3 linked regions of the Tamandua tetradactyla genome follow. The protein of the gene in region 2 interacts with the protein of the main gene of each other region in a biochemical or structural test. Links are inferred from orthologs where the notes say so. Each region holds a gene or a part of one and is shown on either strand. Other genes may lie near its edges.

Region 1 (7,305 bases), on a different chromosome or scaffold from region 2:
TATATTTAACAAACTAAACACAGGAACATTGTAATAAGTTTGCTTTGGCCAAACCTTAGGCCGGGCCAAAAATCTGATGCAACAGAGAAGGAACTACTGTTCCATTGAAAAGAACAGTCATCAACTTGTTCGTGTATTTTCATGCAGTTGAATTTCCTGGTCTAGTATAGGCAGTCTAAAAAAAAAAACAAAATATTTTAGGCTGCTACAGAAGCCATAGTGCATATCAAGACAGAGGAGGATGCACAGAAATATAGTAGTAACTAGGGAGAATACCATATAAGCTGTACTTTTCTACTGTCATACCAAAAGGAGTTGTTAATCTTCTCTGCCTAGCACCCAGATCATACATACCATGTTTGTTCTGCATGAGACACACCTGGTTCCTTTGTCTTCTAATCTTACATATGAGACAGCTTACTTAAGCTCATTTCTTATTTTGTATTTTGAATTGATTTGGAATATATCACTGGTATTGAAGCTGCTACCTTTGTAGTATTTGATAACCACATCAGTTATTTTCAAGAGGCCTTCTGACCACTTTTTGTGGGAAACAAAAGACCCCTTGGGTTACCTACATATCTTGCTGGTCCCACTTGCCGTTAATAAAAAAAAAAATACCCATTAGGAGTGAAATGAATGAAATTACTCTTGATGAAACATACACTAGTGAGGTAATATTAAAGTAAATTGTTCAGTGGACCAAAAAGGTGAGTTTTGTTCTACTTTAACTATCTACAGTATATTTGGATTGTCTGGAGGAGCACTTTAACCTATAGTCTGTATCTTGAGGACAACAGAATGAGAACTCTTTATCTCCAGTCAGCTAGAACCCATGAGGGAAAAAGGAAGCAATTTTGTTAAAGCCCTAGGAAGATTAGGAAGAAATGGGAACTGTGAGTTGACAGTAGTTCTTTAGGATACTCTCCTCCCTTCCCTTTTACCAGCACTATCTTCCTTTCTTTTTCACTGTTTGGATCCTAGTAGCCTACTCCCCACCCCATTTTGCCTGCTACAATCTCTTCTTCCTCTGTCTGCCTCTTCCTGGCATTACTTTACTACTATTTTACAAACCTGAACGTTGGATAAAACCTAGCTCAGGTAAGAACTTAATTACTTTCAAAATATACACGGGATTTGGGGGTGGGAATGAGGGTGGTAGAATGGATAACTGGAATAAGAGTCAGAAGCCTAAATTCTATTTTTAGTTCTGCCACTGGCATACTATAGGGCTTTAGGCAAGTCATTTCACCTCTGTAGGCTTCATTTTCCTCATTGGAAAATGAATTTAAATGAACTCAAATGTGTGCCCTAATTCTAACACAGATTTTTTTTTTTCTTGTGAATGAGAATATAAGGTATGGGGACAATGGAAGCTATTAGAATGTTTACAGTGCTGAGGTTTGAGAGCCCCACCATTGGTTCTGACATGGAATCAAAAGTCTGCTGGTAGCGGTTTCAATTCCTAGACCATGCACCCCCCCAAAAAAAATTCTGCCAGTAGGGCCAGTATTGATTTTGAGATTTTGGTGGTGACAGAAAAAAGCCTTACGTATGCTAGAGAGCCCTCAAGTAATTAAGAAACATCCTGCTGAGGCAAAAATCAAATCCCCTGACAGTAACAACTCTTTCAAGGAATACAACTATATCATCAAGGTTTCTGGACCCACTTATTTCATGTAGTATTCAATATAATAAAATTCCAACACCAATAAAATTGACTGTTTTTAGACCCTTTAAACCTACTGTGGCTACAGTGTGCTGACTTGCCCTTTTATAGGCCAGTCTGCTTCCTTCAGTCCCTGCTCTCAAAGGGGAAATCCTATCACCTCAGCTAACCAGACCGAAGAAGAGAATTGGACAACCAATGGTGGCCTCTCCTAACCAGAGGTAAGAAATCTCAGCACATAGAACTGCAATTTCCTTCTGTTCTTGTTGATTCTGGTCAAATCCCCCTCTCACCCTCAAAACTTTTGCCTAAAGCTATTATCCTGAGCTTGAGTTGGCTTATAGAAGAAAGAAATAGTCTGGTCATATTATAGTTTCAAGCCAATCCAAGAGGAATACTTAGTATACATGGTTCTATCACAAAGTTTAAGACCTTTGGACCACATGTAAACGCAGGTAGAGGCAAACAAGTCTGTAGAAAAATAGCTTCTGAACATCTTGTTCTTAACTCTGTAAAACTCTTCTACCAAGAAGTGCTTTGGTTGTGACATCTTCCCATTGGACCCTGTGCTGGAGTGAGGGGCTCTGATAACACTGCATTTTCTATCCTCAAAAGTGTGTCATCTGCCAACAGGCAGGTTTCTTCACCTTCCTTCTCTCCTGTAACAAATGAGTGAGAAAATGTGGTTTTAAGTATCCAAAATTTAATGTTTTAAGACTATCTAAAATACAGGGCAACAGCCTCAGCTTCAAGACCTGATTTGGGAAATAAGATCATGAATCAAACAATCTGACAATAAATCTATTTTGGATTACTTTTTTTTTTTTTTTTCACATGGGCAGGCACCAGAAATCGAACCTAGGTCTCTGGCATGGCAGGCAAGAATTCTGCCACTGAGCCACCATTACACTGCCCTATTTTGGATTACTTTTTTACTTCCTGTTTTATCTTAATGATATAGTGTGAGTCAAAAACAGTTGAGATGAAAATAAGTAACCTACTGCCTTGTCTCTCTCCTCTTGATTTCTTTCTTTGTGCCCAGTATTTTCATACCACTATCCCTTCATCTTAATCAAGGGTTCCTGATCATGGCTACCCCACAAAATCAGCTGGAGAGCTTGAAGGAAAAAAAAAATTACAAGAGCCAGACCCACTTCAGATGATTAAATCACATCTTTGGGGGGTGGGGCCTGCCATATGTATTTTTTTTTAAGCTTCCCATATATTCATGTGTAATCAATGTTGACCCTCTGACTTAAACTCTTGTTCCTGCATTCAGGTTGCATAGATGATGAATCTAGTTTTTTCTTAAAAGCTAACTACCTATTCTCTAGTCCTGGCCCTTATAGCACACAGCATCTCAAGAAAACTTAGCTACTAGCAGTAGTCTTTATAGTAGTAGTAACTACTGCTATTGATTTTTAGTAGAGACTAGTAAAAGGAAGACTTGACTTCCATGTTGATACTTCCTTGAAATTCTTTGAAACTGTTCTCTCCTAGTACTCTTATTTCTTCTGACTGGTCTTTCTCAGTCTTCTTTTGGAAGTAAATAAATGTTGATATGCCCAAGTATCTTCTTATATGTTCTCTTTAGGTGATTTCATTCCATGTGAATTTCACGCCACCCAAATCTATAAACTAGCCTAGACTTCTCCCGCTAAGCTTCAGACCAGTATACCTAGCTCCTTACTATGCTTCTACATCTGAGTGTTACACACACACTGTGCATTCCCCAATATAAGATCTGCCCTTCCTCCTATTTTCCCTATTATATTATGTGGTACTGCTAGCTGCCCAGACTCTCAAGCCAGAAAATTGGGAATTACCCTCCCTCTCCCTCACCACACTCTTAATCATCCCTATCCTTCTTCCTCTGTGTATCTGAATCCCATCTACTTCTTTCTGTTCCCACAGCCACTGTCCTTTTGCTGACCCCATTTCACTAGACTGGTCTCACCGCCATCATTCTCTCTGCCTTCAACCCCCTCCCTCATCAGACTACTTATTCACCTTTCTTAAAAGCTGAGTCCTCCTAGATGGTCTTCACAATCTAATACCAAGCCTTACCTCCAGTACTGCTAAGACATTTCATTTAAGCATGCACTACTTTGTAAAAGGCTCAAAGCCTTTTGGGAACAATAAAATATACATACCCATGCTACTAGAAGTGTGATCTGAGGGCCAGCAGCATATGCATCACCTAGGAGCTTATCAAAAAATGCAGAATTTCATTAAAATGAGATTAGAATCCTCATTTTAGCAAGATTTCCAGGTGATTCATATGTACTTTAAAATTTGAGAAGCACTGATTTATAAAGTATGCTTTTTTATTTTTAATGAGTGAGGAAATCCAGCTTAGAGAAAATCTGATGAAACCAGAGCTGAGGCAATATTGTTAAATGTATGCAGTAAGGTGATATACTTTTTTTTAGTAGGGGCGATAGTTGATTTTGAGGAAGTCAAATAAAGACACCTGGAACTGGTTCAAATTTTCAGTATCTGTTGGTACTAAAGTTAGTATTTACTCTACTCTCCTTCCTCATATCACCCCCTACATCAAAAAAGTTACCTCCAAAGCCAAACTCTGTGACCTTCGTTTCCAGGAACTAAAGACCAAACCCTCATCATCACTTGGCTCCCTAGTTTCATGAGGTTAATGGTGGCAAAGAGATCAAGAGAAAGCCTGCCCAATAATTGAGTGATGTTCTCAATTATTCCCCAAGTTTTACTCATCTTTTTCATCAGTCCAATATCACTTCCAGAAAGTCCCCTCCCTTCCTGATCTTCTCCTTCTGCTATGCTCTAGGCCAACACGGCACTTTCATTCTATACTGTAATTGATTGTTTATAGGAGGCATTACACACATCTGTACTGAAGGGCACAGGCTCTGGAATCAGATATAACCAGATCCGAATCCCAGTTGTCCCAGCTACAAGATGTACGACTTTGAATTAGTGACTTAAAACTTCTGGGCTTTAATTTTCTTGTCTGTAAAATGTGCCTCACCTGTCCCCAGCGCCCAGCAGTAAGGAAACAGTAAATAGCTAAGCAGTTGCGTCGCTTGAAGGCCCGTGAGAGGCTTGGGAGTTAGAACCCTTGCAGCACTCGCCAAGCTCCGAGCTTGCTCCCTTGCGGGAGGGGCGGGGCCATTGTGTTGAGTGACGGCGGTGACCCGCCCCGGGCGTGACGTCGCCCTGGTGTTGTTACAGCCGCACGTGGTCGGCAGGGTCCGCCTCAGGCTCAGAGCTGAGCTCACCGTCCTCAACACCAGACGCTTGCTTTCCTGCTCCACCCGCTCGCTATGTCCACGTCCACTAGCTGCCCGATTCCCGGTGGCCGGGACCGGCTGTCCGACTGCTACAGCTCCACGCCGGGGGGCACACTATATGCCACTACTCCGGGAGGTCAGCGTACCGGGCTGGGGGTTGCAGGCCAGTGTGCTTGTGCTGCCGTGGGGCGGGGGTGGGGAAGTGCGGGTTCTTCAGGTCGTAGCTTTGGGGGAGGAGGTTCGGAGCAGAGGCCTTGATCCATAAAACCTTGAAGTGATGTAGCAAGACCTTGAGCCTACCCTCTTGATGATTGGGTTGGAATCCTTCACTAGGACCTGGTTTCTGTCCACGTGTTTTCCCACGCACCCTTTGCGATTTTGCTGTCTTGGGGTACCGTCTGAGACCCCAACAGAGCATGACCCTAGAAGCAAGCACTAGGTTTTGCAAAGGGGCTGGGCAGAGGAGCAGGAGCTGCACATATTATAGGGGCTATCTGGTGCTTGATTGGGTGAGCAGCCCCAATGACAAAGCTGCTGGGCTCCAGACCTTGGGGTTCCTGCCACGTGGAAGCAAAGGGGAGGGGCGAAGACAGGGCAGGGCTCTTTGAGGACATGATGCCAGGCCAAGATCCTCTAGGCTGGGCTGAGCCTTATAGGACATTAGGCAGGTCAGGATAAGAACAGTTTGTCCCTGTGTTTCACAGCTCCTCCCTTTAGGGTGTTTGTCCAAGTGAAAGTACAGGTAAACCACCTTCACATTTGCTTTAACTTCCTGATTCTGAAGCTGGAGGGCTAGGTCCCATACTGTGATCCAAAACAAGGAAGTCGCAGAGCCAACAGATAGATGAGCAGCCTGAAGTGTCTGATCTCCAAATTAGGCTCTCCTAGAACCAAGACCTTAAGTAACCTTAAACCTAAAGCACCTGCCTAGACCAGCCAGACACCCCACTTAGTTTATAATGCTTAGCTCCACCTTGGTTAGGCCCAGAGGATTTTAAGTACTGGGAAGTCCAGTCAGCCAAGATCCTGCCTAGGCTGCAGAGCAGAAGCCCTTTGATGCACAGGGAAATGTAACTCCCAGGTCCCCAAAAGGCCCATGTCCGGGGCCACAGACAGCTCTGTATCCAGGCTCCTGCCTCTTCTTACCTCAGCCCCTACTCCTTGGTCCTTGACAGGCACCAGGATCATGTACGACCGAAAGTTCCTGCTGGAGTGCAAGAACTCGCCCATTGCCCGGACACCCCCATGCTGCCTTCCTCAGATTCCCGGGGTCACAACTGCAACAGTCCCACCCTCCAAGTTGGAGGAGCTGAAGGAGCAGAAGGAGACAGAGGAAGAGATACCCGGTAAGGAAAACAGGACCTAAAATTAAGAAATGCCCCTGCAAAGTAAAGTAAGGGTTCAATTTAAACAGAATTTTCTGCACTGGTCCTAAGCCTGCAGACCCAGTGCCCTCAGCACAGCAACCAGTCCTCCTGCCTCTTCTCTCTCCAGATGACGCACAGTTTGAAATGGATATTTGATGCAGTGCAGATGACCTCGTGTGTGGAAATATAGAGGGATCTCTCATGCCGTTTGCTACTGCCATCATCTTCATCTCTGCCTGGGATATCCAAAGGCCAGCTGGCCTCATCTAATATGAAAGGGAGTGTCTTGCTGGTCCTTGGCCTCCCTTAGTTCTGAGGCAGCTAGACCAGGGATTGGAGTTTGGGCAACTCAACAAGCCCTTATCTGTACTTTCTCTTTGGTCTGTAGGCCTCTGCTCAGGAGCTGGTACTAGGGGGTGGAGTATATCACCTTCTAACTGCTTAGTAAACATTCAAAGAAATGCCTTGGCTCCAGTGTCTCCTCAAGTGCGGATCTTCCCACTCAGCCACAAAGTAAGAGAGTTTGTGGCCCAACAGGCCTAGTTAGGATAAGAGGCCTCAGATCCCTTCCCAGCCCCCACTGGGCCCACTTCCAGCAGCACTGCATGCCTGAGGCAGGCTACGTGAGCTGCCAAACCATAAAGAGCAGTAGGCTGATCCCTGCCAAAGGCTGTTCCCATCTTTCCAGGAAGCAGCCTTCCTGTAACTAGACCTCCCCAGCAGGCTTTCCCTATCCATTCCAAAGCAGGATACTTGAGAAATAGGTACTGTCTCCAGCCCTGTGCACATCCCATGCCTTTTCTGTTCCCCACACCCACTCTGCAATCCTTCTATCCCAGCATTGAAAACCTGTACCCTCCTTTCTCACAGCATGAATACCCACCAGGATCCCTGCCACTCAGCAAAGTATAGAACTCAGGATTAGAAAAGACTTTAGGGCCCAAATGAGGCCCACCCAAAATGAGGAAGCAACTTGTATGGTGAGTCAGATAAAGTGCCA
Region 2 (7,749 bases):
GGAATGCGATATACCAGAAATGGAATGGCTTTTAAAAAGGGGGAATTTATTAAGTTGCAAGTTTATAGCTCTAAAGCCATGAAAATGTCCAAACAAGAGGTTACCTTCAAGAGGTTACCTTCACTCAAGAAAGGCCAATGAAGTTCAGGGTTTCTCTCTCAACTGGAAAGGTACATGGCGAACATGACAGCATCTGCTAGCCTTCTCTCCAGTCTTCTTGTTTCATGAAGCTCCTCCAGGAGCATATTCCTTCTTCATCTCCAAAGGTCTCTGGCCGCGTAGGCTCTCAAGGTTCTGTGGCTCTCTGAAGCTTTTTCCAAAATATTTCCTCTTTTAAAGGATTCCAGTAAAGTAATCAAGACCCCCCCTGGAATGGTTAGAGTTACATCTCCTTCTAATTAAAGGTTAATACCCACAATTCAGTGCATCACATCTCAGTGAAAATAATCTATTCAAGTTCCCAACCTACAGTGCTGAATAGGGATTAAAAGAAGCGGCTGTCTCCACAAAATGGATCAGGATTAAAATATGGCTTTTATTGGGTTATAATCCTTTCAAACTGGCACAGAGGGCAAAGAGTTTTTATTGCTTAATGAGGGCAGCGTTTCAGTTTGTGGTCATGGAGAAGTTGCTGCAATGGATGTTGATGATGGTAGTACTATATTGTGAATGTAATTAATACCACCAAATTGTAGTTTTGAAAATGGTTAAAATGGGAAATTTTGATTTGTATATACAACAAAAAGTTTTTAAAAAATGGTGGGAAGATACATTTATCATATGGTTGCTTGGTGAGTCTGCAATAAAATGAGGTGAATTAGTAATATGGCTTTAATGATTGGTGTCCTCAAACAACCACCTCAAATAAGGATCGATGGATGAGAAATTCACACTCTGCCCCCTCAACGATTCTAGAGATACATCATCAAATATAGTCATTCTGGATTCCTCTTTTATGGATGGTAAGCAGGCCAACTCCCACTCATTAACACATTTCTTTCTTTAAACAAAAGCACAACACAGGCACTTACTCATCTATGTAGCAATCGAAATCCAGTCGTGACTCCCTGGAGTAACACCCAATCTCTAATGAATTTTGGGTGTTTACAATCTTGTGGCTTATTTCTAAAGATGAGTGATCTTATCTTACACATTTCAATTTTTTTCTTAATTTTGATTTTAATAAGGTAAATGAATTCATTTTGGAAGTCCTTTATCATTGGTCCAAACATATACTTACATTAATTTTTCACATTCTCTTTGATGATAATTAATTACTCTATTATTTCAGACATTGATCTTTATTAGGCTATCCAATTACAATCTAGTTAATGTTACATAATGATTGAGAGCCCTGAAGAAAGAACTGTGTTCATAATCTGGTTCTCCTTTTACTAGTTGAGTGGTCTTGAGCAAGTTTTTTTAACCTTTCTAAGCCTTGTTCTCCTTATCTGAAAAATTAGAACACTCACATTTGAGTGTTGTTTTGAAGACAAAATGAAGTACCATAAATGCATGTAAATGCTTAGAATAGTGCCTGACTAAAGCAATTTTCCTATTAATTATTAGTCCTGAGGCTTGACCTTAGTTTGATAAGATTTGTGTTTTTCCCAAATATTTATTTGCAATCTACCTACAATCACCAAGAAGCTAATATTTTAGTAGTGGAGACCACCAACAATGAATTGATATTTAATATAATATCAGGTTTGTCACCAGAATTTTGAAGGATTCTATATTTCTGAAGAAATATAAAGCCAGGTAAGGGGACAGAGAGTGCCAGGGATGCTAATTTAGATAAAGGCGGCCAAGGAAAAGCTTTGCTCAGGAGATGGTATGTGAACAGAAACCCAAACGAAACTAGGTGAGAAAATATGAGAATGTCTCAATATGTGAATGGGTGCTTGTTATGGTGCTTGTTTGCTGCATCATTTTGGCTCTTAGTCACACGTCTTTATATGGTGACAGAACTATTTATATTTCTATGACTTATATGCCAACCAAATTTTACAGTTCAGGAGGGAAGTGCCTGCTTCCTGTGTCCTTTAAATATCCTTTGGTTACTACATATTTGCCATGAGTACTTCAGTACTTCTTAAATAGTTTCCTGTCATTTCTGAAAATGAACTTAGAATTAGAAATCATTTGAGGAGAAACAAGAATTTGGGAGGTCCTATCAGAGGGAAGTAGCTATGGTATGAGGAAAAAGCGAATCTTGGAGAGATTGGGCTTGAATTCCAGTTTACTCTTTGGCTAATGTGGACTCGGACAACTTTACTGAGTCTGTTTATCCATAAAACGGGGATGATGATATTTAATTCATGTAATTGTTATAAAGGTCAAATGAAGTAATTAATATGGAAGATACTTGGTATGTTATAGGAGATCAATAAATGTTAGTTGACTTCGAATATTTGGAAGTTTGGAGTATCTTCAAAAATACTGGGCTGAGTTTGGTTCTCTGAGAAAAGAATTCTTAAAAATACTCCACTGTAGTAAAAAGTAGAGATAAGAATCTATGTTAATACCTAATGATAGGTAAAATTGAATGAACATCGTACTATGTTCTAAGAACCATTCTAAGCCCACTGCGTGGATTAACTCATTTATTTTTCACATTAGCCACACAACATAAATTATTATGCCCATCTAATACATGACAAACATGAGGCACAGAGAGTCTAAGTAACCTGCTCACAGTCACATGCTAAGTGGTGGACTTGGGGTTACGAACTGAGATAGTTTGATACTAAACTTATGTTGTTAACCACTAAACTATACAATTATAAGTTAAAGGATATTTATTTTATTACAGGCCATCATCTTAGAGCTTTTCTAAAAGAAAATCACTGTAGAAAGTGAAAATAACAAAAATACTGTACAAAAATAGAGTATGACATCAAGTACAAGTATATCCAAGTTTTAACAAAAGAATGAACAACAACAAAAAAGTCTGAACAAGGTTAAAAAAGAAAGGATATCAGATTAGTATTGACTAGGGATTGTTTTAGATTATATCTAAAACTCTGGCCAAACATTAAGCTACTATAGATCACTTACCTTATTACGCAATCTCACATCTTCTGTCTCAAAATCCTCTCATCTTAAGAAAAAAGGGTTGCTTAAAACTGATCAGAGACAAAGTCCCCTAACCTAAACAATATCTAAAATTTCAAAGACTGTCTTAAAAAAAAAATCATGGCTAGCACAATAGCAATATTGTTTAGAAATATATCATAGCAGATCAGATCAATTTGAACATGGTAGAAAAGCCCAGCAAAACAATGACTTTGGTTATCTGCCAGATCTAATCAACATTAGAATGGCAAAGAGGTAATTACATAATAAAAACAAGTTATATGTTTTGTCAAATTATTTAAAATCATGTCCCATGAGTTAATCTATAAAGACAATATACCAGTGTGAGGAATATATTAAGTTGAGAAAAGTGCTTTATATTTAAAGATGATAATCAATCATCCCAGACTTATAAATAGGAAGTACCATGATATTATGATGAGTCAAAGGTAGTTACCTATAAACTAGATAGCTTGATCAAAGAGAAGAGAACTTCAATACCTTACCCTATTTCATAAATTAAACTTTTCATTAACCATTCTTTTCCATAAAGATAAGGGATGTGGTAGTAAGGTAACAAATACAATCTATTTGTGTGGTTTAATAGAGGAATAAAGTATATAAGCCGTCTTCTATGTATATTTCAAATTGGAAACAAAACAAAACAAAATAACCACATACACACATAAAAACCTAATCACCAGGGGGTGCAAGTGTGGTTCAGTGGTAGAATTCTCCACTGCCATGCCGGAGACCCAGGTTCAATTCCTGGCCCATGTACTTCTCAAACAAGCAAGCAAGCAAACAAAGGAAAAGCCAACAAAGAAAAATTCAACAAATGGCGCTGCAAGAAGGGGATACTCACATGGAAAAAGAATAAGATGTGATCCCCACCATACAGCATACAAAAACAAAAAAAACAAAACAAAATAAAGACCTAATCACCAAATCTTTGACATGGCAGAACATAATGACAATAATTAAGGAAAGACACATGAAGTTTCCATAAAACATACGCAACAAGGCATGTGTAAAAGGGAGTGAAATGAAGCTCTGATAGCATACATAAGTATTATAAAAGTACTAGGATGACTGACAAGAGCGGAGAGTTTTGTGATCAAGATAAAAATTTATGTAAGCCATTGTTAAAAACATTTTTAGGGCAATGGTGGTGCAGTGGCAGAGTTTTCGCCCGCCATGCTGGAGACGCGGGTCCGCTTCCGGTGCCTGCCCACGTTAAAAAAAGAAAGAAAAAAAGCGTAAAAACGTTTTTAAAGAACATCATGGCTTTCTGTGCCATGTGGATATTTCCTTGCCTATTTCCTTGATTCTTTACTCTGTTATCTAGCATCATTGCAAAAATAGCACATCTAAGCTATCTATTCAAAGAAGATAATCAGATACTACTTTTAACCAACAGAAAACACCGACATCAACTGTAATCACTTTGAATAGTTTAAGTAACAGTACATAATCTCTGTAAGGAGAAATCCATTTACTTTCATTTTTTAGAATTCTAAGTATTTTAGAATCTACTAGAGCTAGACAAAAGTGTACCTGGTCATCTCTGACATCCAGGCAAACCAAACATACTAACATGCAATGACTGAGTTTTTGTTCAACCTCAATTATGTGTTAGTCAACCCAAGCATCCATTATGTACTCAATAATAGGTGTGACACAGCTTTGGACATCGGCAGCACAATAAGCAGGTAGGCACAGGCAGCCTGCTTGTACTAATTTTTCTGGGGTTACCATTCTTAAGCATGGGAAACAATGATGAGATAGCATCTTCCTTATTAGAACCTTATATTAGCATATTACTAGATTTGTGTGTGTGTGTTAGTAACCCGGCTGTGCAGGATAAGGCTGTCTTGAGAAATGACAGCTTGCTAGCACAATACCTTAGAGGGAAACGAAAAGTATGATGCTAGTGTGGGGACAAATTCGTAATTGGCAGTGACTGCTGTGAACATCGCAGTATTTTCCTGAACATTAACGCCTCTAATGAAGGTAGCGACAATTATATAGAAAAAAAGTCTGGAAATTTTAAAGTTGCACTGATGTACATCATAATGTAACAAAGTATACAAAAGTAAAAATAAAAACATGGTTTTAAACAACAGCAGAGAAACAGCTGATCCTTAAAGGCACGCAGTTGCCTACGAAACATTTATAGTGTCCAATGCATTTTCAAAGCAGGTTACTGTCATTACCACAGCACACCCTTGTGAGGTAAGTGTATGAACCCGTGGCTCATAAATGAAAAAACCGAGGTACTGAATGATTAAGTCACTCGCCTAAGGAGAATGAGTCAACGTCAAGAGTCATAGTTGACCCGGCCTAACGACTCCTGACGGTCAGTCCAGGGCTTAGTCAGCGGGGCCCAGAGTGGCTTCCCTGGCTGGCACCTGGACTTAGGTTATTTCCGTTCACTTTAAAGGAGGATAGTGGAACCGAGAGGACAGAGCTGCCAAATAAGTTTTACTTCCAAGCAAGTTTTGGCCCAGAGGTTTAATCTCAGGATTTGGGTCAGAAAACGCATTCGGGTCCACTCCCCCTCACCCCCAACGGTGGCAAGTGGGTACTGTGGGCGGTTCAGTCCAACTCCTCTCGCAACGAAGGCCATGAGTGACCACCGGCAATAGCAGAGCTGGGGGACGGGGGAGGATCGATTGCTTAAACACAGATTCTCCGTCCATCACCGTCTCTTTTTGAAACTAAAAGAGAAAATGGTGGTGGGAAGTCAAAAGAAAGCTAAATAAATACATAGGCTACTTGTCCTAGGACTTCCAACTAAGCAAATGAAGCCTTATTGTGCGTGCTGAGCCTGCAGTTCCCAGCCTACAGGGGAAGATGGGAGGATAGGGCGACGAAGGGCACAGTAGGCATGCCGGGCAGTAAGTGCGACTGCAGACATCCAGGCGGAAGAGCAGAGGACTGAAAACCACCCTCCGGCAAGAGAGTGTCAGCCGCGCGGAAAACTGCGCACCCTATCCATCGACCACGTGACCAGACTTTTTTTTTAAAAAACTTCTTTGCCCTTAAAAAAAAAAAAAAAAAGGAGACTCCACTTCCCAGAAGCCTCTCGATACTCACGCAGCCGCAGTCTTGCGCAGGCGCCGCCAGGGCCAAACGGACACGTCTGTCACGTGGCAGTAGCCAGCCAATCCGGTTTGAATTTAATTTTTTTCCTCTCACCCCCCCCTCCCCTTCAGGAGCGGTTGTGCGATCAGATCGATCTAAGATGGCGACTGTGGAACCGGTGAGTATCGCTTTTGGCCCCCACCCCCACAGGTCCCCGCGCTCTGGCTCCCTTCGGACAGGGGGACCCCGCGGGATGTCGTTCCCGGCGCGCACGCTACCCTTTACCACCCCCTCCCCCTCCTCTTGGGCTTAACCTGCCCGCCGGTAACTGGGGGCGCCCCGGAGGCTGGCCGCGGCAGCGTGTCGCTCACACGTTCTAGTGGGGGCCGGGGAACTGGGGAAGAAAAACGGGGGAGGGGCGGCGCGGTGCCTCTTGCGGAGCCGCGAGTTGTCTGCAGGGGTAGAGGGTGTTCCGGACCCTGGGCTAGGTGTGTGGATACTGTTTCTTTCGAATAGGAGGGCGCGGGGCTGGCTTAGGGCGGGCGCCAGAATCTGTAGGGAGGGTGGGCGAAGAACCGGCCTGGAACGTGATGGAGGAGGGAGCTCCGGCCAGCCTTTTCCTCCCTCCCGAGTTCCTCCCCAGGGGCTCGGGTATGGGGCACGTGCGAGAGTTTTCCTTCCGTAGACGGGTGGGCTGGGGAGCCAGGGGGCGCGTGTTGTCGGTGGAGGGGTGGGCGGGAGTGGTGCCTTCGCACGCGCGGGGATCTTCGACCTCGCTGGGGGAAGCTGAGAGCGGTGAGCGCATGTTGCTTCAGCGCGCCAGAGAGTGCCGAGTTTGGCGTCGAGGCAGTAGAGAAAGGTGTGCGTGGGGAGGAAAGCCCCGCGTCGTGCTGTGAAGCCCTACGGATGGAATGAGGGGTGGAGGTGGTGAGAAGGGGGCTCACATTGTCCTCGCCCCTCAGTGCTTAAGTCTCGGCTGTCATGGAGGAGGGAAGGGGGAGGAGCAAGGCCTACAGATCGCTGCGGCTGGTCTGATTGCCGGCGGGACCTGCTGCCTTTCACACGCGCCTGCCTTCCATTCATTCATCCTTTTCGTGCAATGCGCACGCCTGAGCGAATGCGAATGGCCCTAGATCCGTGTGTTTTTTTCTACTCTTTATTATCGAAGATTTCTAAGACAACTTACAGGAAATTAAATTTTCCATTTGATTCTGTTCTTAATTTACCCATTCTTTAGGCTTTCCTTTCAATTTAGGCACCATTTTAAATTTAATTGAACCGAGCAGATCCTGAGACAGAGAGTTGATAGTTACCCCTCAAAGGAGTGATTATCTTTGTCATAGTTTGGGTTTGCCGGCACATGCCCAGCGAAGCTTCTGAGTCCAAGCTGACATTTCATGAATGTGACACCTAAGTGACAACATTTTGGGGCATTAGCAACCAGAAAACAATTGACACTCAGTTTCGAACCAGTTCTAGGCCTTGGTTGCCAGATACTTTTATAAATCTATGAAGGTAGTTTGTGATTTTGATATGGTTCGCTAAGTTGTTTTGACTTTATAACTACCTCAAAAATTCTAGTGT
Region 3 (7,760 bases), on a different chromosome or scaffold from region 2:
AAATGTTTATTTAAGTCATTTGCCCATCTCTTAATTGGGTTGTTTTGTCTTTTGTTATTGGGTGGTAGGAGTACTTTATATATTAAAGATATTAAACTTTTATCAGACACAGGGTTTCCAAATATTTTCACCCCTTCTGAAGGTTGTTGGACAATTGATTTTTGACAAGGGTGCCAAATCTATTCAATGCGGAAAGAACTAAATGGTGCTGGGATAACTGGTTATCCACATGCAGAAGAGTGAAAGTGGACCCCTACCTCAGATCATATAAAAAATAACTCAAAATGGATTAATGCCCTAAATATAAGAGTTAAAACTTCACTCATTAGGGAAGTACAAATATATACATATATAAAAACATAAAACATAGGAAAATATCTTATAGTTCTGTATTAGGAAATGGATTCTTAGACTTATACTGAAAGCACATGCAACAAAAGAAAACATAAATTGGGCTTTGCCAAAATTTAAAACTTCTGTGTTTCAAAGGGCATTATCAAGAAAGAGAAAAGAAAACCAACAGAATGGGAGAAAATTTTTGGAAATCACATATCTGAAAGGATTCAATATCCAGAGTACACAAAGAACTCCTACAACTCAACAACCAAATAAGCCTTTTCTTTCACCAACTTTTTCCAAGGTAGTGAAGATACCAGTAGACTCTACAACATACTCAGCACCAGCACCACCCCATTTGATATTGATAGGCTCTCACTTCCAAAATCTAGTCTTGGGCTTCCCATTAACAACAAGTGTCCTGTTCTCAGCCTTGATCATGCTTTTGAACTTGTCATGGGTGGAATTACACTGGAATATGTGGACCACGTTGTTGAGGTCAATGAAGGAGTCTCTGATGGCACAATCTTCACTTTGTGAAGCCAAATCCATTTACCCTGACCTTTACCATCATGTCTCAGGGATGTTGCAGGCACTGCACAGGCAGATGTGGCTATTGGTCAAACGGTGAGGAGCAGAGAGCTTGACTTTCCTTTTTTTTTTTTTTTTAACATGGGCAGGCACCGGGAAACGAAACCAGGCCTCCCTCATGGCAGGCAGGAATTCTGCCACTGAGCCACCGTTGCACCACCCTGATTTAGCTTTTAATATAAGTAACTATGGGGCTACAATTTAACTTACAGGTATGTACAGTAATTATTGGGCTACCTTTCTCTCTTTCCAATTAGATGTAGCCTCATATTCTTCTCTGTGGGCCTAGCACAGCACCTAGCACATAGCCGTCATTCAATAAATACCTGTTAAATGAATTTTAAGGACTATCTCTAGAGGCATGGAAGGGAGAAATGGCCAATGCTTGAAATGGGAAAAGCCCAGAGGGGCAAACCCACCTCTTAACCAGTAGATAGAACAGATAATGAGAAACATTTTGACCTACCAGTGAAGAGACATCATTAGTTTCAGTCCTGGAGCTGCCACTCACTTGTATATGATCTTGAGAAAATTTCTTCCCTTCTTTGGGTCCTATCCTTAAAATCAGGAAACTAGGCAAGGTAATTCTGAAGAGTGTTTTTGCCTTGAATTGACTCTATGATGATACTTTGTTCTTCCCCTTACTTCCTTAGCCCAATTTCCAGGAAAGCTGGAAATTTTGGGCAAAGGGGCAGGGCAGTTTGGCCCCAGGAAAACTGAGACAGCAGCAAATCAAAGAAGCTGAGACTTTGCCCTGGAGGGAATAGGGAAGGACCTAAGGTTTTTTGAGGCCTACCATACCTCAGGCCCTGCTGCTATTTTCTACAAACTCCTTTAATCCTTGCTTTCATCCTTTAGAGACAGACCAGTGCTCATTCTGCAAATGGTCTCGATAAGGTAGGAAACATGCTTAAGCTTAAGGTTGTACCGCTTGTCCGTAAGATTAGAATCCAGGTCATGCGCCCAACCAATCTGGGAGACAGCGTGGCTCATCTAGATGAATGTGGAATTTAGTTTCAGGCGTGACTCTGTCCTTTTCTGGCTGGGTGACCTTGGGCCCTTTGAAAGGAACAAGCACCCTCACATGCCTTTCCACCAGTGGGCCCTGCGGTGTCTGGAAGGGCCTGCTTGTTTAGTTCTTTACTTGAAGAAAATTTGTGGCCTATCATGAACATGCTTGTAGTTACAGGGATGGGGCAAAAACATTTCTCTACTTTTCCCATGGGGCCTTCTCTATACCCACACATTAGATGGGTATCTTGCAGTCTCTCCCATCTTGGTCTTTCTTTTTTTTTTTTTTTTAACCTCTTGGCCTCCCATCTCTACTTAATTGTCTAGGGTCTAGATCTTGGGTCTCCAAGGTCCATGCTCAGCTCTACCCTCTGTGGGCCAATGTTTACATGTTTTAGTGGAGCAACTAATGACAAACCAACCCCACTGTGATTAATAAGGATGGCTTCTCTTTGCATAAGGTGACTTGTTTTTATGCTAACAGGCTAGTTCTCTCCAACAGGAGGACTGAAGGGGCTAGAAAACCCTGCTTGCCATAGCACTTTTTAAGTTTTCTTGTGAGCTTTAAGTAGTGGAAAGTTGAGATTACCAGGTCACCTGGTTTGTAAAGATTATGTCACCAGGATGCTGTAAACCAAGTCACACAAACGTCAATTCAGAAATGAAGGGATTCTTTCTGAGCCCAATCCCTGGTTCACTAAGAGAGACAGAACCCTGGTCCAATATGCTCATGAATAAGTAAAATACCATCACCCACCCATGAGGAATGTATAAACCAAGTCTCAGGCTGTCTTCCAGCTCTTCAGATGAAGATGGAGAGGTATGTTTATTCTTGGGGGAATACAGGTCTCTGCCAGAGGCAGCGTGGTGGGCTCTGGGAATACTGGATGCCTGGACAACCATACAATGCTCCTCTGGGGACAACCAATGCCTGCTCCAGAATACTGCCATCCTTCTCTCTCACTATGCAGTGAGATCCAGTCTGGGCTCTGGATGACTGTGGCTCTGTCACGTACACTCTTCATGTGACCTTGGGTAAGTCTCTTGTCCATGTAGGACACAATTTTCCCAGCTCTTAAATAATGTGTTGTGTGAAGGTATTGTGCCTTCCTATGCCTGTTTCTTCATTTGTAAAATGGGTAGTATCTATTTCACAAGACTCCATGAGATAATACATGAAGCACTCAGTGCCATGCCTGGTAATCATTATTACCTGGATTGCTTGGAGATCCCTGCTATTCCTTTCCACTCAGTGTCACTGTCTCTAGGAAAAGGCCCTGCTTGTGGTGGAGTGGGAGCCGGTGCGGAGTGGAGGTTAGGGCATGTGGAGAAGGGGGGATGCTAAGTCAGTTCACCTATGGAGAAAAGGAATTATTTGATGGCAAGTTACCAAGGTTATCAACAAGTGTTATCCCCGCATAAGACACTAGGGGAGGTGATGACTGACTGATGGCCAAAGGGCCTTCAGTCCTGGGGTAGATCTTGGGAAGGAGATTCACAGAACACTCAGATCATGCCCCCAACCAATCTGGGAGGCGGCATGGCTCACCCAGATGAAGGAGGAATTTAGTTCCAGGCCTGGCTCTGTTCTTTCCCGGTCGGGTGACCTTGGGCCAGTCATTTTTACTCTGAGTCTCAGGGCCTTCAGGAAATGGTGCGCCTTATTCCGTTTACCTCTCAGAGTGTATGAGGATGAAATGTCGACATAATGGATGGGAAATACGTTGTTAAGGGCTGGCGAATGGCATTTGTTATGCTAATAATTCCAACGCAGCGGGTTCCAGTCCAACGGGTTTCATTCTGTTTAAGCGGTTCATTCCCCAGTAACCGAGGTTTCTCGCCTCACCGCCTCTACGCCCCTGCGGGCAGGGCTCTGCAGACCACAAGCTCTAGGGCCGACACCATTGTTCTTAGACGCTCGGCCGCAAGGAGGGCCCCAGCAGGCCAGATTTCGCTTTTGGTCTCTCCTCCCGCCCAGAGCTCCCTGCGTCGATCTATCCCGAGGAAACGAGCCAGCCCCAGAACGCCCCCGAACGGCGGCCGAAGACGTACTCGAGGGTTTCCGAAGAGTCCCGACCGCTCGTGGTTTCCGAAAACAGCCGAAGAGGCTTCCCATCCTCGGTCTTCCGAGCCACTCCGAAAAGACCCGAAGTTTTCCGAGCGGCCGTCCTGCCGGACTGCTGGAGGCGGCCGCAGCGCCATGTTGGATGCTCTGCTCGTTGAGTGAAGAAAATCCGCCGGCATCGCCTGAGCCCCGTAACCGAGAAGGGCGCCGCTTCCCCTGGGGAGGGGGATAAAGACCCCCGCCGCCGACCAATGAGGATATTGCCGTGAAAGGTCCGGTCTCTCCGCCTCCTGTCCCCGCCGGGTCCGGCCCCCCCCCCTGGGGTCGCGTTGTCACGGAGACCGGCAGCCGGTGGTGCTGGCCCGCGGGGCGGCTGCTGCTGCCGGCGGCGGCGGCGGCGTCGGCGGCGTCGGCGGCGGCGGCGGGCGTGTGTGACCGGCCCCGGCCCCCTCCTCTTCCTTCTCCCAGCCTTTCCCCGAACCCCCGCTCCCGCCGCCTCCCCGGGTCTGCCCCCATCCCGCCCCCCCGCTGCCCCCGGCCCCTGCACCCCGGCGCGCCCGGTCCCGCTCTGGGGGGGTTGGTGGCTTCGCTTTGCCATGAGTTTACCGCAGAAACCGGCTCTGAAATCAGGCTCAGCGGCTGCAGCAGGAACCGGACCCGGCACCGGAGCGGCGGCGGCGGCGGCGGCGGTAGCAGCAGCAGCAGCGGTACCGGTACCGCCTCCTCACCCGGCAGCAGCAGCGGCGGCGGCGGCGGCAGCAGCGGCAGCAGCGGCAGCAGCAGCGGCCCCTCACCCGAACATCAGGGCCCTCCAGACCCAGGCGCCCCAACAGTATCCTTTTCACCTTCCTGCCACCCCTTCGACTCGCTTCGCTGTAAACCAAGGGGGTTGTGGCCCCCTCTGGGGACCGCCCTGCCTGCCGCCACAGCGCAGCCAGGAAAGGGGCTGCCTTTCAGGCCCCCGTACCGGGCTTGGCCGGAGCTTTTGGGGTGCCCGGACAGCAGCACTGCGGGGGACCACCGGACCCTCTGCAATACTGTGAAAACTAGCTCCACCAGGCCATGCTTTTCTGCCGTCCTTTCCTCCGAGAGCTGGGGGACCCTTCTCCCTTCTCTCCTCCTCCTTCCTTAACCCCCACCCCCCCTTTAATTAGGCAGAATTTCCTGGTAGCCTGGGACCAACACTGCAGGGAAGGATTTTCTATGATTGTTGTGAGGACTACACCCTCCTCCTACACCCTCTTCACCTCCTTTCAGCTCCCCCTGCAGCGGGGTTTAGTGGGCTCCCCTAATTATTATTATTATTAATACATAATAAACTTTATTGGTAAATTTATTTGAAACTAAACAGCTCGTTGCCGAGGTAAGTCGGGTTTTAAATCTACTGTGAACATTTACAGAAAACTCGCCCTTGGCCAGTGTTTTTTAGCGATTTGGGAACGTTGCGATATGGTTTGCGGTGAAATGCGACCTAAAGAGGAAATGTTACACCGGACACTTCCCTGTCTTTGACCTTTTTAAAGGAAGAGGAAGTTAACTGACATTACCCACCAACCCCAAAGTCTCACTTCTTGGAAGGCTTGTGTTAATGTTGAACATTTTTAAAGGGCTTTTCAGAGGCTTATGGTCTAGAGGGTACCGGGGCTCATGAAGAAAAGTCTAGTATTGAATGTGTCTAATTTCATGTTATTTACTCGATTGTAGAATTTTTGGACAGCTTTGATTGAAAAGATTTGGTGGCAAGTTATTTTAGTCAAAAACTAGCCGGTGAAGGTAAAACGTTGAATTCATGAAGTCCACGGAGATTTAGAAAGGTATTACCTACCTGAGACTATTTCATCATGCACTCCGTCCCCATCTGTTGTATTTGTGTAAATCAATAAATAATCATTGGATGTTAGATGTGTTGTGTTTTGTGTTTGTGTCATTGTGTGTTTGACTTTCAGAGAGAGGAGGGTGTTTGAGCAATTAAGAAACCAACCGCTGTGAGGCCCACAGATTATTTCACAGTCTAGTTTGATTCTTGTCAGTATTGATTACATTGAGAAGGGAGAGGCATCCACCCTTTTGAGTCATTTCGGGTCATTGTTTTGCTTTTTGTCAAGTGTCATTTTCTGTGTTTTACATATTGTTAGTTTACATTTTTCAATACAGGCAGTGTGGCACAGGGTATAAAGATAAACTCTATTCCAGTGTGATGTGTTTACTGATTTCATAATGTTTTTACCCTGCATGATTCTGTTCAATTAAGAATTGTTCACTAATGTGTTTTTTTTTCCCTCTAAGAAAGGTAGTGATGCTTTAGTGTTGCTAGTGGAAACCTGGTTAGTTTTGATCAATGTCCCTCGTTGCTTTACTGTGAGGGAAGAGGTTGGCTTGTTTGCCTACTTCAAGGCCAGGTTTCAAGTGCTGGATCTCACATATCTTCATTTAATACTTTGTGAATTTAAATTCTTTTCATTTTTTTTTCCTATTGTCCGTACTTAGGGTTGTAAGTTTCTGTACTGTGCCACCAAGCAAATTATTCATTAATTGATTTTTGAACTATTTTGGTAGTTAAACAAATGTAGAGAATCACGTAGTGTGAGCTCTTGATGTACGAAGTAATAAGACCACGGTGCTGAATATGACAGTGCTTAGTGGATTTGGTGTGCTCTTTGGACACAAAGGATTATGACTTAAGTATTTCAAGTGTGCTTTTTCTCAGTTCTCAGAACTTTAAAAGTTCTGAGTTGATTGCAACAAAAAAGTAGTTACTATAGCTGCAACTTAATTTTCTTTAGAATAAAGAAAGCAAATGTTAAAGGGAATAAATTTAAGACATTTCTGATGGAGATATTTTTAAACATCGTGGTAATATAGGATACTTAGTTTTTCTGTGGTTTTAAGATTGTGTTTTGCCTTATACAACTTAGAAGCTAAAATTAATTTTTCTCTTGATGTACTTCACAATGGTTATCTTCTCTTTGCTTTATACACTGAAATGTTACAATTGCTTAAATTTAAAAGCTTAAGTAAATGAAGTATGGGCTACAGATTTCATTATAATATGACAGTGGTAAAGTGTTTATACTGGTAATGGGGGATTGATTAAAAATTTATCGAATAAAGCAATTCTGTAGAGTGATCAAGTTCAGTTACAATCACTTTACATCTTAGGAACCAATACATTGTATTTTTTTTCATAGCAACTAAATTGGGTGAAAAAATCTAACAAATGACAGTACTTTGTGTTTATGCAAGGTTTCTGCTTTTCTCTCCCCAGGGTTGGGGGGGTAGGAATTTGTATTTGATGCAAATGGTTATCACAAGATAAATTGATAACATTGAAGCATTGAGGTTGAGGGTATGGCTGAAATTGTTTCCTTGATTTGAACAAGTATTCATTCCCTCAGTTCCCTAGATATATGGGTATAGTTGTGTTTGAATTAGTAAATTCATGCAGGATTTTAAATTTGTAACAGTTTGCATGTCAGGTGTTCTTTATTTGTACTTAGTGTCAAATGACAAATAAGAAATGAAGGGAAATGTTAGCATTAGAGGATATGAATATAAACAAACCTGCTAAGTAGGCTTCAGTATTGCACTCCAGGGCCCAAAAGGCCTGTTTAAGTAGAGGCCTTTGACTCTAGAGGCAATACTTGTGTCCTGGGAAGGTAGGGAGCAGGGATGCTGGAAGAAGAAGATATACCCTGATATAAGAAATGCTAAAGGCAAGAAAAAATACGCATAAGTTTTGCATAATAATCCAACTTGA

Evidence for each region. The genes of interacting proteins can lie anywhere in the genome.
Region 1: the proteins of EIF4E (region 2) and EIF4EBP3 form a complex in vitro, tested with the Homo sapiens proteins (2 studies listed by IntAct, with this or other methods). The link is inferred for Tamandua tetradactyla from reciprocal best matches to the Homo sapiens genes EIF4E and EIF4EBP3.
Region 3: the proteins of EIF4E (region 2) and EIF4G3 form a complex in vitro, tested with the Homo sapiens proteins (3 studies listed by BioGRID and IntAct, with this or other methods). The link is inferred for Tamandua tetradactyla from reciprocal best matches to the Homo sapiens genes EIF4E and EIF4G3.

The regions. Positions count from the first base shown.
Region 1 is NC_135346.1:20,592,553-20,599,857, forward strand, and holds EIF4EBP3 (eukaryotic translation initiation factor 4E-binding protein 3), read left to right. Parts: upstream 1-4,892; 5' UTR 4,893-4,971; coding exon 4,972-5,074; intron 5,075-6,113; coding exon 6,114-6,284; intron 6,285-6,432; coding exon 6,433-6,461; 3' UTR 6,462-6,766; downstream 6,767-7,305. UniProt on the Homo sapiens protein: Repressor of translation initiation that regulates EIF4E activity by preventing its assembly into the eIF4F complex: the hypophosphorylated form competes with EIF4G1/EIF4G3 and strongly binds to EIF4E, leading to repression of translation.
Region 2 is NC_135350.1:26,667,292-26,675,040, forward strand, and holds the start of EIF4E (eukaryotic translation initiation factor 4E), read left to right. Parts: upstream 1-4,733; 5' UTR 4,734-4,790; intron 4,791-5,278; exon of another isoform or gene 5,279-5,313; intron 5,314-5,398; exon of another isoform or gene 5,399-6,296; 5' UTR 6,297-6,325; coding exon 6,326-6,343; intron 6,344-7,749. UniProt on the Homo sapiens protein: Acts in the cytoplasm to initiate and regulate protein synthesis and is required in the nucleus for export of a subset of mRNAs from the nucleus to the cytoplasm which promotes processes such as RNA capping, processing and splicing.
Region 3 is NC_135328.1:205,157,016-205,164,775, forward strand, and holds the start of EIF4G3 (eukaryotic translation initiation factor 4 gamma 3), read left to right. Parts: upstream 1-4,721; 5' UTR 4,722-4,835; intron 4,836-7,760. Other genes in the region: uncharacterized protein LOC143674792, read right to left, coding at 3,790-4,182. UniProt on the Homo sapiens protein: Component of the protein complex eIF4F, which is involved in the recognition of the mRNA cap, ATP-dependent unwinding of 5'-terminal secondary structure and recruitment of mRNA to the ribosome. Functional homolog of EIF4G1.